Linked DNA regions of Danio rerio. The protein of the gene in region 2 purifies or fractionates together with the protein of the main gene of each other region. This does not show direct contact. Links are inferred from orthologs where the notes say so. Each region holds a gene or a part of one and is shown on either strand. Other genes may lie near its edges.

Evidence for each region.
Region 1: the proteins of exosc1 (region 2) and exosc10 purify together in Homo sapiens (co-immunoprecipitation; 8 studies listed by BioGRID and IntAct, counting the BioPlex papers as one, with this or other methods). This does not show direct contact. The link is inferred for Danio rerio from reciprocal best matches to the Homo sapiens genes EXOSC1 and EXOSC10.
Region 3: the proteins of exosc1 (region 2) and mphosph6 purify together in Homo sapiens (affinity purification with mass spectrometry; 5 studies listed by BioGRID and IntAct, counting the BioPlex papers as one, with this or other methods). This does not show direct contact. The link is inferred for Danio rerio from reciprocal best matches to the Homo sapiens genes EXOSC1 and MPHOSPH6.

What each region holds. Positions count from the first base shown.
Region 1 is NC_133198.1:16,330,555-16,334,213, reverse strand, and holds part of exosc10 (exosome complex component 10), read right to left. Parts: intron 2,087-3,659; coding exon 2,039-2,086; intron 1,902-2,038; coding exon 1,826-1,901; intron 1,721-1,825; coding exon 1,608-1,720; exon of another isoform or gene 1,109-1,607; intron 1-1,108. UniProt on the Homo sapiens protein: Catalytic component of the RNA exosome complex which has 3'->5' exoribonuclease activity and participates in a multitude of cellular RNA processing and degradation events.
Region 2 is NC_133176.1:58,184,257-58,188,352, forward strand, and holds the start of exosc1 (exosome complex component CSL4), read right to left. Parts: upstream 2,912-4,096; 5' UTR 2,899-2,911; coding exon 2,871-2,898; intron 1,581-2,870; coding exon 1,465-1,580; intron 1,363-1,464; coding exon 1,288-1,362; intron 347-1,287; coding exon 258-346; intron 1-257. UniProt on the Homo sapiens protein: Non-catalytic component of the RNA exosome complex which has 3'->5' exoribonuclease activity and participates in a multitude of cellular RNA processing and degradation events.
Region 3 is NC_133200.1:38,538,450-38,541,616, forward strand, and holds the end of mphosph6 (M-phase phosphoprotein 6), read right to left. Parts: intron 2,828-3,167; exon of another isoform or gene 2,776-2,827; coding exon of another isoform or gene 2,729-2,775; coding exon 2,638-2,728; intron 2,283-2,637; coding exon 2,173-2,282; intron 1,477-2,172; coding exon 1,335-1,476; 3' UTR 636-1,334; downstream 1-635. UniProt on the Homo sapiens protein: RNA-binding protein that associates with the RNA exosome complex. Involved in the 3'-processing of the 7S pre-RNA to the mature 5.8S rRNA and play a role in recruiting the RNA exosome complex to pre-rRNA; this function may include C1D.

The DNA.
Region 1 (3,659 bases), on a different chromosome or scaffold from region 2:
GCGCGGGAATGTGAAAAGCATGTCAGGAAGAGCGGGAGAGAGAGCGCTTTTTCCTTTGATCTCGTTTTTTGTGTATTTTTCTGACATGATTATGATTTTCGTTGTTTTTGCTTAACTTTCGTTTAGGCAAAATTATTTTGCATTACTTTTGCCCACTTTAAGTAATTTTGTGAGGTTTGTACATTTTTATTTCAATTGATTTGTATATTATTTTTTGGCTCCGCTCCTTCCCGACAATACAGCTGTATCTCCTCAAGTTCAGTCTTAGTGTAAGGTGGATAGGGAAAATGTCATACGATTTCCATTTTGCAAACACGTAGAAAATGTATTGTTAAAGACATCAGGTAAGAGGTGAAGGTCATCTTTGTTTGTTTTATTCAGTATAGGGAAGAATGCGGCGCACGGCGCTGAAGACCTTTTTTTCTTTTCATCAGTTTTAGCAAGGTAAGGGGTTATTCATGAGTTAGAATTGTTTTGTTATATTTATTTCTTTTGTTTGTCTTCACTATCACCCCCTTGCTCGAGTTTAACTAATTTTTGTTTGATACTTTTGTTTGAATTTGTTACTTTATTATATTATTTTTATTAGTGTAAATATTTCTCTTTTTTGTATATTTGGGCATTATTCTGGTTTCACTTTTGTACATTAAATCACTTTTGTTGGCAGTTCTGTTGCTTACACCCTCACATTGTGAAATTACCACACTTTTTAAATGTTTTTCCTTACAAGTAAGTTTCGTGAAACAGTTTAGACAGACAGGCGTGTGCTTTGTCTACGACATGAATTCTATTCCTGTACTCAACTGGAAAACCAAAATGTTTCCACACAGATGACTTAAATGTGTCTGGGGAATCTGCAATCTCAGTACTATGTGAAGCAGCCATCCTGCGTCCAGTAGTAACGAGTGTGATGCTTACTCAAGTCACATGACATAACATGCACTAAAATACTAACTTTAGAATATAATATTTAGAACAAATCCTCATCATTACTAAAATAATTTAATCAAATGTGATAATAAAGATGTGTTTAAATTGGTTCAGAGTTTCGCGATATGTATCGTGGTTGGTGTATCGCGATATTTCGGTTCGGTTTTAATATCGTTACACCCCTAATATATATATATAAATATATATAAATCTAGTTTTCAAAAATATACAAATTTTGACCTGCTTCGCCAATCTTTTTCTCAAAAAAAAAAACTTTAATGCAAATATTTATAAATATGTTAATATAAAGTATATACTCATGTGCTTTTCAGCTGCAGGACTGAATGGCTGTTGCCTACATATGATTATCTCCACATACCCCATTGCGATGTTATGTCTATGTGTTTATGTGCTTCTTGCTGGGGCTTGTTCTTCCCCTGACCTCACACTGCCCTACTTTAAGGACAGTCTGGGAGGGGCTTTTTCCCCTAATATATCTTATTTTCTCTTTCTAAAGATACCGCTCATCTGACCTGTCTATCCCTGAAATGTGTGACGTGTGTATGGTCGGAGGAGTCCAATTTCGCTACATGTAACAGTGTATGTGACAAATAAAGGCTTCTTCATCATCATCATGATCGTCATCATCACCATCATCATCATCATCAACTACTCACCGCAAATAGACTGATTTTTGCTGGAGCAGTCAGACCATGCACTGATTTTTTCTCTCTATCCACACTTTCCTCATCTTCCTCTGAGAACAGCATTCCAGGTTTGGTTGGGGTTTCTACACCAGTGCAGAAAACATTAATCTAATCATCAAACTTATTTAAAATATAAAAATTAAAGGCAAATAAACACTCATGACATTCTTATTATTATTTACACCTACCAAAAGAAGAAAGGTCCAGGAAGTCACTTTCAGAGGAGCGTGACGTGTCATGGGGTCCGAATAAAGTAGACTGTGGCTGTAAAACAACAGCAGTAAGGAATAAACTCCTTGCACCAGTTCAAGGCATACTGAGCCATATAAAATATGCATATTGGTATTGAGGCATATTAACAACAATAATAAAAACAATCTGTTGAATGAATGTCAACACACCTTTCGTTTAGGGGTCATTGATTTCCTCTTTTGAGCTACTACCTCTGCCTGAAGAGAGACAACATTAGTAATCACTGATCCATTATATAAAAATATGACAAATTATAGCACTGCTGCATTCACACAAAGAATAAAATCTAACAATATACATTTTTACCTTTTCTTTATATATAAAGACAATGAAGTCCACACCATATCTTTAGATCACATTTAGAATTATTGTCTTCCAGCGAATGAAGCATAAAAACATCAACAGCCAATTAAACTCTTCCTGACTCTAATGAGCATGAACAATTAAAGTGGCAGAAGCCTAAAGAGTATGCAGAGAAGGTTATCAGGAGTGCTGGTTTGGGATATGGAACACTTCTTAAATTTATGATTCCCTGAATCTCCTTGTATTTATGCTTTTGTAGAGCTTAAGTTAAAAATGATATAAATATACACATGCTAGGAATGGGAATGTTTTTGAAATTATTATTTTTTTAATTAGGTTCTAGTCAAGATCCAGTACATGTGTTTGTTTGTTGTGTTACTAGGGTTATGCCCTACTGCAGTGAAAGACTATAGAATACACAAGAGATGTCATGTGTTTAGTTTTGAATTTGGGAAAAATGTAACGGCAAAGACTATAGAATACACAAGAGATGTCACTCGTATACTTTTGAATGGGGAAATGTGTAATTGTCAATATGGCGATTGAAGCCCCGCTTTCTAGTACAGGAGCCAATCAGCAATCGCTATATGGTGACTAAAGCCCACTTTTTAGTACAGGAGCCAATCAGTGATCGTTATAGAATGACAATTCTCCGGGGTAGGGGTTTGGACCAGATGTTAGTTTCTGCAGATTTTGTGTGATACAAACATTTAGAAATTAAACTAAATAGACAGCTGTTGTTTAGTTTTATTGGTTATTCGTAATATGTAATCGCAAGCTTGGCTAGTAGTTTTAGAGAATTTGATGTTTCTCCTTTCAGACAGAATGGCAGAGAGAGCCGCTTCAAAGATGGCCACCGAGTGAAATGACTTGCCTTAAAGGGACTTTGGTACTGGTCAATATTGCGAATGAAGCCTCACCTTCTAGTACACGAGCCAATCAGCTATCACTGTAAACTAAAGATTCTCTAGCTGGCATTAGACGATAACCGTTTTCAAGGTATACCGTGGTTTGAAAAAGTCAAGGTTTTAAAACCGCCAACATTTTCTGCTAAGATTTTTTTATTTACATTATTTTAATTTAGTTTTTAGGGAAACAGTATCTCCAGCAGAAAAAAATATCAAAAAAGGCTGTTTTAAACTGTAAAGAAATCTGTTTTTAAAACAAATAAAGATAGCAGAAGTCAATAATTCACTTTCATTATTCAGCCTGACATGTTTACTGCAACAAAATATCATAAATGTTTCTCAAAATAAAATTTATTGTGTTCAAAAGGGAAAAAAGTTTTAGATTTTTTTTTTAACCAGACGTTTAAAAATAATATATTTTAAAGCAGTAAACACAACACCGTGAAACCGTGATATTTTATCCATACCGTCAGAATGCAATACCGGCCCATGCCTGTTCTCCAGGGGAGGGGCTCGGACCAGAAGTGAATTTCTGCAGATTTTGTGTAATTCGGATGTT
Region 2 (4,096 bases):
CTGCTTAAGTATGGTAGAAGTTACGGGAATGTTTAAACAAGAAAGAAAAGTGTGAAAATATTAATGCCTATCTGGAAAAAGGAGTGTCGTGAGGGGTTTCACAGCCTTAAAACATCTAGAATAATTAATAATACAACAATAATACTACTTCTCGGATTTCACCTATTGCAGGTTATTTTTAGAGTGTAACTCCAGTGATTAACGAGGGATCACTGTATATTATAATAGCAGATTTACTGATATGCAAACATCTGTACCTGATTGTGCCTCTGAACCTGTCCTTTAGCGGTGTCGAACCCACATATAAGATGTGCACTTTAGCAAACCTTGGGTTGATACTCGTCACCTGGAAAGGGTGAGGAAAAACATGCATATTCAATACACTTTCAATACATAAATACAGTCATAAATTACAGTTGAACAAAGTACAACACACATGCAGTCGAAACCTTAAAGGAACACTTTACTTTTATTGAAAAGGCTCATTTTATAGTTCTCCAAGAGTTTTACCATTTTTGAATCAATTCAGCCGATCTCCAGAACACGTTTAGTTTAGCTTAGCATAGATCATTAAATCAGATTAGTCCATTAGCATTTCATGCAAAATTGAGTAAGGAGTTTTGATCATTTACCTATTTAAAGCTTGACCCTTTTATAACTGCATCATGTACCAAGACCAACGAAAAATTAAAAGTTGCTATTTTCTAGACCAATTTGGTTATAGGAACTATACTCTCATACTGGTGTATGAACAAAGAAATTTGCCGCTGTACCAATGAGTGAAGCAGGACCAATGATGATGAAAAGCACCTTAAAACAACACCAGCAGGGTAACAGCGATGCATAATATCATTGTTTCTGCTGTATCCATGGTGCAGCAAAGTTTCTTGATTATTACGCCGGAATGAGTGTATAGTCCCTATAACCAAATCAGCCTAAAAAAAGAGCAACATTTCATTTTCTGTGAGTCTTAGTACTTAATGTAACAACAGAAAACTCAACCTTTAAATTGGAATATCATATAAATGTTTAAATAATGTTTGCAGCAACATGCTAATGGTCTAATCCAATTTAATGACTTATGCTAAGCTAAGCTAAAAGAGCTCCAGCCAGACCTGAAGATCAGCTGAATGGATTCAAAAATGGTCAAACTCACTTGTTTAACTTCAGGAGAGCTGTAAAATGAGCTTATTGCCCAAAAACTGTGTTTCTTCAACTTTCGTAATAATCTGTAAATGGCTAACAAAGACACATGTGACAGATTAAGATATATCAAAACCGATATACCTTACAGGTGACGATCGCACCGACGTCAGGCAAAAGTTGCGCTTCTGTCTCTCTAACAACTGAAATCACCGGCAACTAGAAATCAAGTCGGGAGGAAAATTAAGTACTCGGTTATGAAGAAACATGGACTTCTAAGCTGAAATTTAATCTGCATGAGAGCAGCAGAGGTGAACTGACCTCCTCTCCCTCATTCTTCCTCAGCACGTATCCTGCTAGTGAAGCGAAGATGTAGCCGTGCCGCAGATACGTGCCTGTACCAGGAATACAGTCCTCTGTGCTGCAAAGCCTTTCGCCTGCAGGACACACACACACACACACACACGTGAGGCATGCTACAGAAAAATGCATAAATCATGTACAGTACTGCTGTCATAATAGAGAGTCTATAAGCCATGACGAACACAAACACATCCACAGTTTGGCCTCAAGCTGACATGTTAAAATTAGTCTATTAACTGCATAATAATTGTAATAAACTTATAACATAGTGACTTTATGATTAGGACATGAGATTTGGTCTGTTTACTATGAATGCTTATTTCAGCCAAGAAATAAGTATGATAAAGGTACAGTTATGTGAAATATTTCAATATTTCATATTTTTCAAATATTTCCCAGACCATGTTTAATAGACCAAAGGCATTTTCAAAGTATTTCCTTTAATGTTTTCTTCAGTAGTATTTTTATGTGCGTGTGTTAAACATGTATATATTATGTACATGTGAAACATAAAAAACAGTTTTGAAAAGATAGATATTTAAATTTATATACAATTTGTAACACACACACACTTAATGTCAATATATGTCAAATATTATAACTATTTTAAATAATGAAAAATAAAATAATAAATATAATAAAATAATAGAATGATAAAATAATAATAAATAAATGCATTACAACAAAATAGTCCATTAACAAAAACAAGCAGGTTTACATTTCAACTAAAACAAAACCTCTTACACAAAAGCTCTGGCTAAGTGTATATAAGTGTATATACATTTACACTAGTGCATATCTAGCTAGTAAGTGATTACGAGACTTTCCACTCCCGACTAAACGAAGAGTTGCAATTATATTCAGCTACAAATGCAGTCCACAAATAAACATCATAAATCTGGATTTCCTGAAGCAAATCAAGCCTAAAGTGATGAGAGCAGATCGCGTCAGCGGATCGTGTAGAGGCAGAAGAGCGAGTGTTTGAGGGCAGGTATGCATGACAGCCCCGGGCGGTGGGCAGGGCTCGCCAAACGAGTCTTTAAACCCCACAAACTCATCCACAAACGCGATTATTTACAGTGTGCTTGCAATCAGCTAAAATAGCATCTTTATTGGCATATGTTGACTGAAGTCGAAGACATGAGACTTGTTTACAGCGTCATAACAGTCGCGCGTGCTGACGATTCAGCCCTACAGCAGTACACGTGAACGCTTCGAGACGCAAAACTATCCGCAACTTACATCAAAGCTCATAAAATGTCACTATATGCATAAAGGATCAACACATAGCCAAGATATGTCAGCAATAAGACGCCAAACATAAAAGTAATCCCCCAAAAAACATGTGAATAACAGCGACCCACCTGGAACACACAGCTTCATGGGCGACATGTTTTCAAGAAGCAAGATGAGCCTTGTGATTGGATATTAGTCTGACAGGAGCTCGCGCTCTGATTGGTCAGTTCAGCATGTGTGGGTTAAGCAAACCGCCATATTTGTTGTGGCAGTATATTTTTTAGTTTTTTATTAACGTTAGATACATAAATCATGAATACAAATGAAACAATTATACAAATGAGTACATATTTATGGTACACATTAGTTTCTAATACATAAATGTAACAAAAGAGCACGAAAGAGTATTGTGGCAGTAAATGTAAACGTTTTGAGAGAATATACACTGACTGGCCACTTTATTAGGTATACCTTCCTAGTACAGGGTTGGACCCCCTTTTGCCTTCAGAACTGCCTTAATCTTTCCTGGCAGAGACTCAACATGGTACTGGAAATATTCTTCAGAGATTTTGCTCCATATTGACATGGAAGCATCCTGCAGTTGCTGCAGATTTGTCGGCTGCACATCCATGATGCGAATCTCCCTTTCCTCCACACCCCAAAGGTGCTCTATTGGATTGAGTTATGGTGACTGTGGAGGCCATTTGAGTACAGTGAACTCATTGTCATGTTCAAGAAACCAGTCTGAGATGATTCACGCTTTATGACATGGTGTGTTATCCTGCTGGAAGTAGCCATCAGAAGATGGGTACACTGTGGTCATAAGGGATGGACATGGTCAGCAACAATACTCTGTTGGCTGCTGACATGATGTTTTTTTGGTGCTAATGAGCCCAAAGTGTGCCAAGAAAATATCCCCCACACCATCACACCACCACCTCCAGCCTGAACTGTTGATACAAGGCAGGATGGATCCATGCCTTCATGTTGTTGATGCCAAATTCTTACCCGACCATCCAAATGTGGCAGCAGAAATGGAGACTCATCAGACCGTGCGGCGTTTCTCCAATCTTCTATTGTCCAGTTTTGGTGAGCCTGTGTGAATTGTAGCCTCAGTTTCCTGTTCTTAGCTGACAGGAGCGGCACCCGGTGTGGTCTTCTGCTGCTGTAGCCCATCTGCCTCAAGATTGGGCGTGTTGTGTGTTCAGAAATGCTCTTCTGCAGACCTCGGTTGTGACAGGTGCTTATTTGAGTTACTGTTGCCTTTCTAAAAATTAGCCATAGCTTTAATACAACTAACAAAAAAATCACTTAAAAGTCTGTGTGAAATCGAAATTTACAATGTTTATTTTGC
Region 3 (3,167 bases), on a different chromosome or scaffold from region 2:
ACTCAAGGAGATTCACGGAGTTGTTGTGAAGCCGCTCCATTGATATTTTGGCGGTGTGCTTTGGGTCACTATCCTGCTGGAAGATGAACCGTCACCACAGTCAAGAGCACTCTGCAGGTCTTCATTCAGGATGTCTCTGTACATCGCTGCATTCATCTTTCCCTCTATCCTGACTAGTCTTCCAGTTCCTGCTGCTGAAACACATCCCCACAGCATGACGTTCAATTTTAGTCTCAGAGCAGAGAGTTTAGTTTCTGATGCTCTGAGAGTCCTTCACATTGGTAAACTCCAGGCGGGGAGTGTCTTCCGTCTGGTCACTCTACCATACAGGCCTGATTGGTGGATTGCTGCACAGATAGTTGTCCTTCTGTAAGGTTCTCTTCTCTCCACAGAAGAACGCTGGAGCTCAGACAGAGTGACCATCGGGTTATTGATCACCTCCCTGACTAAGGCCATTCTCCCCCGATCACTCAGCTTACATGGCCGAGGTTCAGCGAAAGGCTGTGAATACTGATGTACACGTGATTTTACAGCTTTTTTATTTTCAATAAATTTGCAACAATTTTAAAAACTTTTTCACATTGTCATTCTGGGGGATTGTGAGTAGAATGTTGAGGAAATAAATTGATTTAATTCATTTTTGCATAAGGCTGTGACATAAAAAGTGGAAAAAGCGCTATCAATATTGTCTAAATGCACTGTATGTCATTGGGGTGATTGGGGAGAAAGAGTTATCAGCGTTTTTTTTTCCCTGTTGTAAAGTCATGCTGTGCGTAATTTCCTGTCACTGATCCATTATACAATGTGAACACAGCAGCAATGGATTTTGACCCCAGATAGTCGTGCAATGTCAATATTAAATAACTGTTCGAATGTTGAATTATGCTATAGTAAGTTCTGCAGTCTTTTTTACACTATGAATAACCTTTTTTTAACATTTCCAACACAATCTCATCAATCTGACTTTCTGACTCATGAATATATTGTTTCTGTGAGAGAGCAGATTTCACTCTACAGCATATCGTCTAAACAGCATATTGGTTAAGTGTCATTAATGTGATTCTCTCTTAATGATTATTTAAAAACAACATGGAAGTTCTACACATCATTTTTTAAAGAATTGGTTAAGAAACTCTGGTCAGGATCTACTACGCTTTTCAACGATGGTACATTTAATTGTCAAAAAACCCCTTAGTGCACCATCCACTAGTGCTTTTCCCATAAAAGACAGTCTTTTAACAATGCATTTGTTGTTACCAAACAGAAAAAAATACTACTAATAAAAAAAGAAGTCCATTGCATAAAAAATAAAGCATTTACAGATTTAAAATGTCTCAGTCCTGTGGCTTCATGAAAGCTCGTTTGGGTCTAATATCATCAGTGACGTTGCAGTTGACATCCTCTTTGTTTGAGACAGCACTGCGATCTCTTTTCTTGGCGAACTTTTTCCTCATGCTCTCAACCAAACTTTGATACCTGTAAAACAAAAGCAAAAATCAAGGTTTTCATCTGCTGGTGATGTCCACATTCGAAACCATTACAATTTTGTTTCGAACCAGTGGTTTCGGTGCGCATTTCCAATTGGCAAGGTCACAGGATTTCATTCAAATTGAGCTTCGTTATGGTCAATATGGTTTCGAAATTGCTTCCCCACAAGGGGGCGATCTGTGCAATATAAAATCTACAAGAATCACGCAGATTCATTCAGGTCGCCCCCCAGTGGCCAATCACTGAACAGGTTTCACTGATTGATCTCGGATTAGTTTTACAAATTTTGTTAAATATTTTAAGGAGATGTGTATAAAATGAAAAGGAGTAATGGTTAAAAGTAGCTAATAGTCTCCTCCTGGCCTGTTTAGCAGTTTAACAAGCAATATATAAGCCTTGAAAACATCTAAATGAAAGAACATTATGCAGAGACTTAACATTTAATGATCTTAGATGACGAGCCAAGTTTATTTATAGGTTAAACTTTCAATTTTAATATGTTTGGGAGTCAATTCTAATGCATCTTTTGTTTGAGTGTTGACCAGCAGGGGTTTCTAGCATGTGCGGTTTCGAATTGCTTTAGCGAAGTAATTGGTAAAATTGTTTAGACGCTTCATTTCATCACTATCCTCGTATATATATATAACAGATGTGTAGATTACAGATGTATTTGTCCTTGCTCACCTTTTGGCCATCTCTTCATCCGTAATATCGGTTTCCATTTTGTTCATGCTCTCGTCCTCCTCTTCTTCATCCTCTTCCTCTCTTGGTGCGTTCATTAGTAACATTAATTTCTGCAACAGATTCAGACTTGTGATGAATAAACCCCACTTTAGATTACAGGTGGCTATCAGTGGCTATAATTAGAGCAAGACGTGCATTTTCAGCTCATTGTTAAAGGCACAGTATGTAAATTTAGCCACTAGAGGGCGTGTATTCACAACAAACAAAGGTGTGTTTTGATGACTGAGTGAAAAATAAAGATATAATAAACTGTTCAAGTGGCTTTTGAATATGTTAATACAAATAAAATCATACATATTGTGCCTTTAGCTTATTCTTCAGATTATGCTCCAATAACGTGAACACAATAATTGAGAACAGTTAACAAAACGGAAGCAAACGGCTGTAAACGGATGAAAGCTGTACCTCCACGTCAGGATTGAAGCCTTTGAATGACATTCTGCCGTAAACCAGATCCTCACAGGGAACGAAACTTCTCTCCTCGATGATGTGGTTTCTGGCAAAGTTAAAAATACCTTGTAATTTTGTCAATTTAAGAGACATTTTGATAAACCATCAGATATCCATAAGGCAACGAATATTTGCTAATGTCAGACTGCATTAGAACTAGAATCATTTTTAATGGGGTACATGCATTAGGACTTTCATTTTAAAGTGTCCTGGTTCAAACGCTGTATGCTAGGGCTGTGCAATTTGGGGAAAATATCTTAATTGCAAAATTTTTTTAACAGATATTTAGATTTGATTTGCAATTTAATATTGTAGACATTTTAGGTACTGGTTGTATTTCCTCATGCCTGCAACAATCCTGCGGCAGCTCTTACAAATAACCTTTTTTTGTTTGGTGTCTGTGAACAAAATATTCCCATATCACTGACGTGCGTTTTTTTCTTTAATAATATTTAGTCTATTAATGCGGAAGACGCCATCATCCC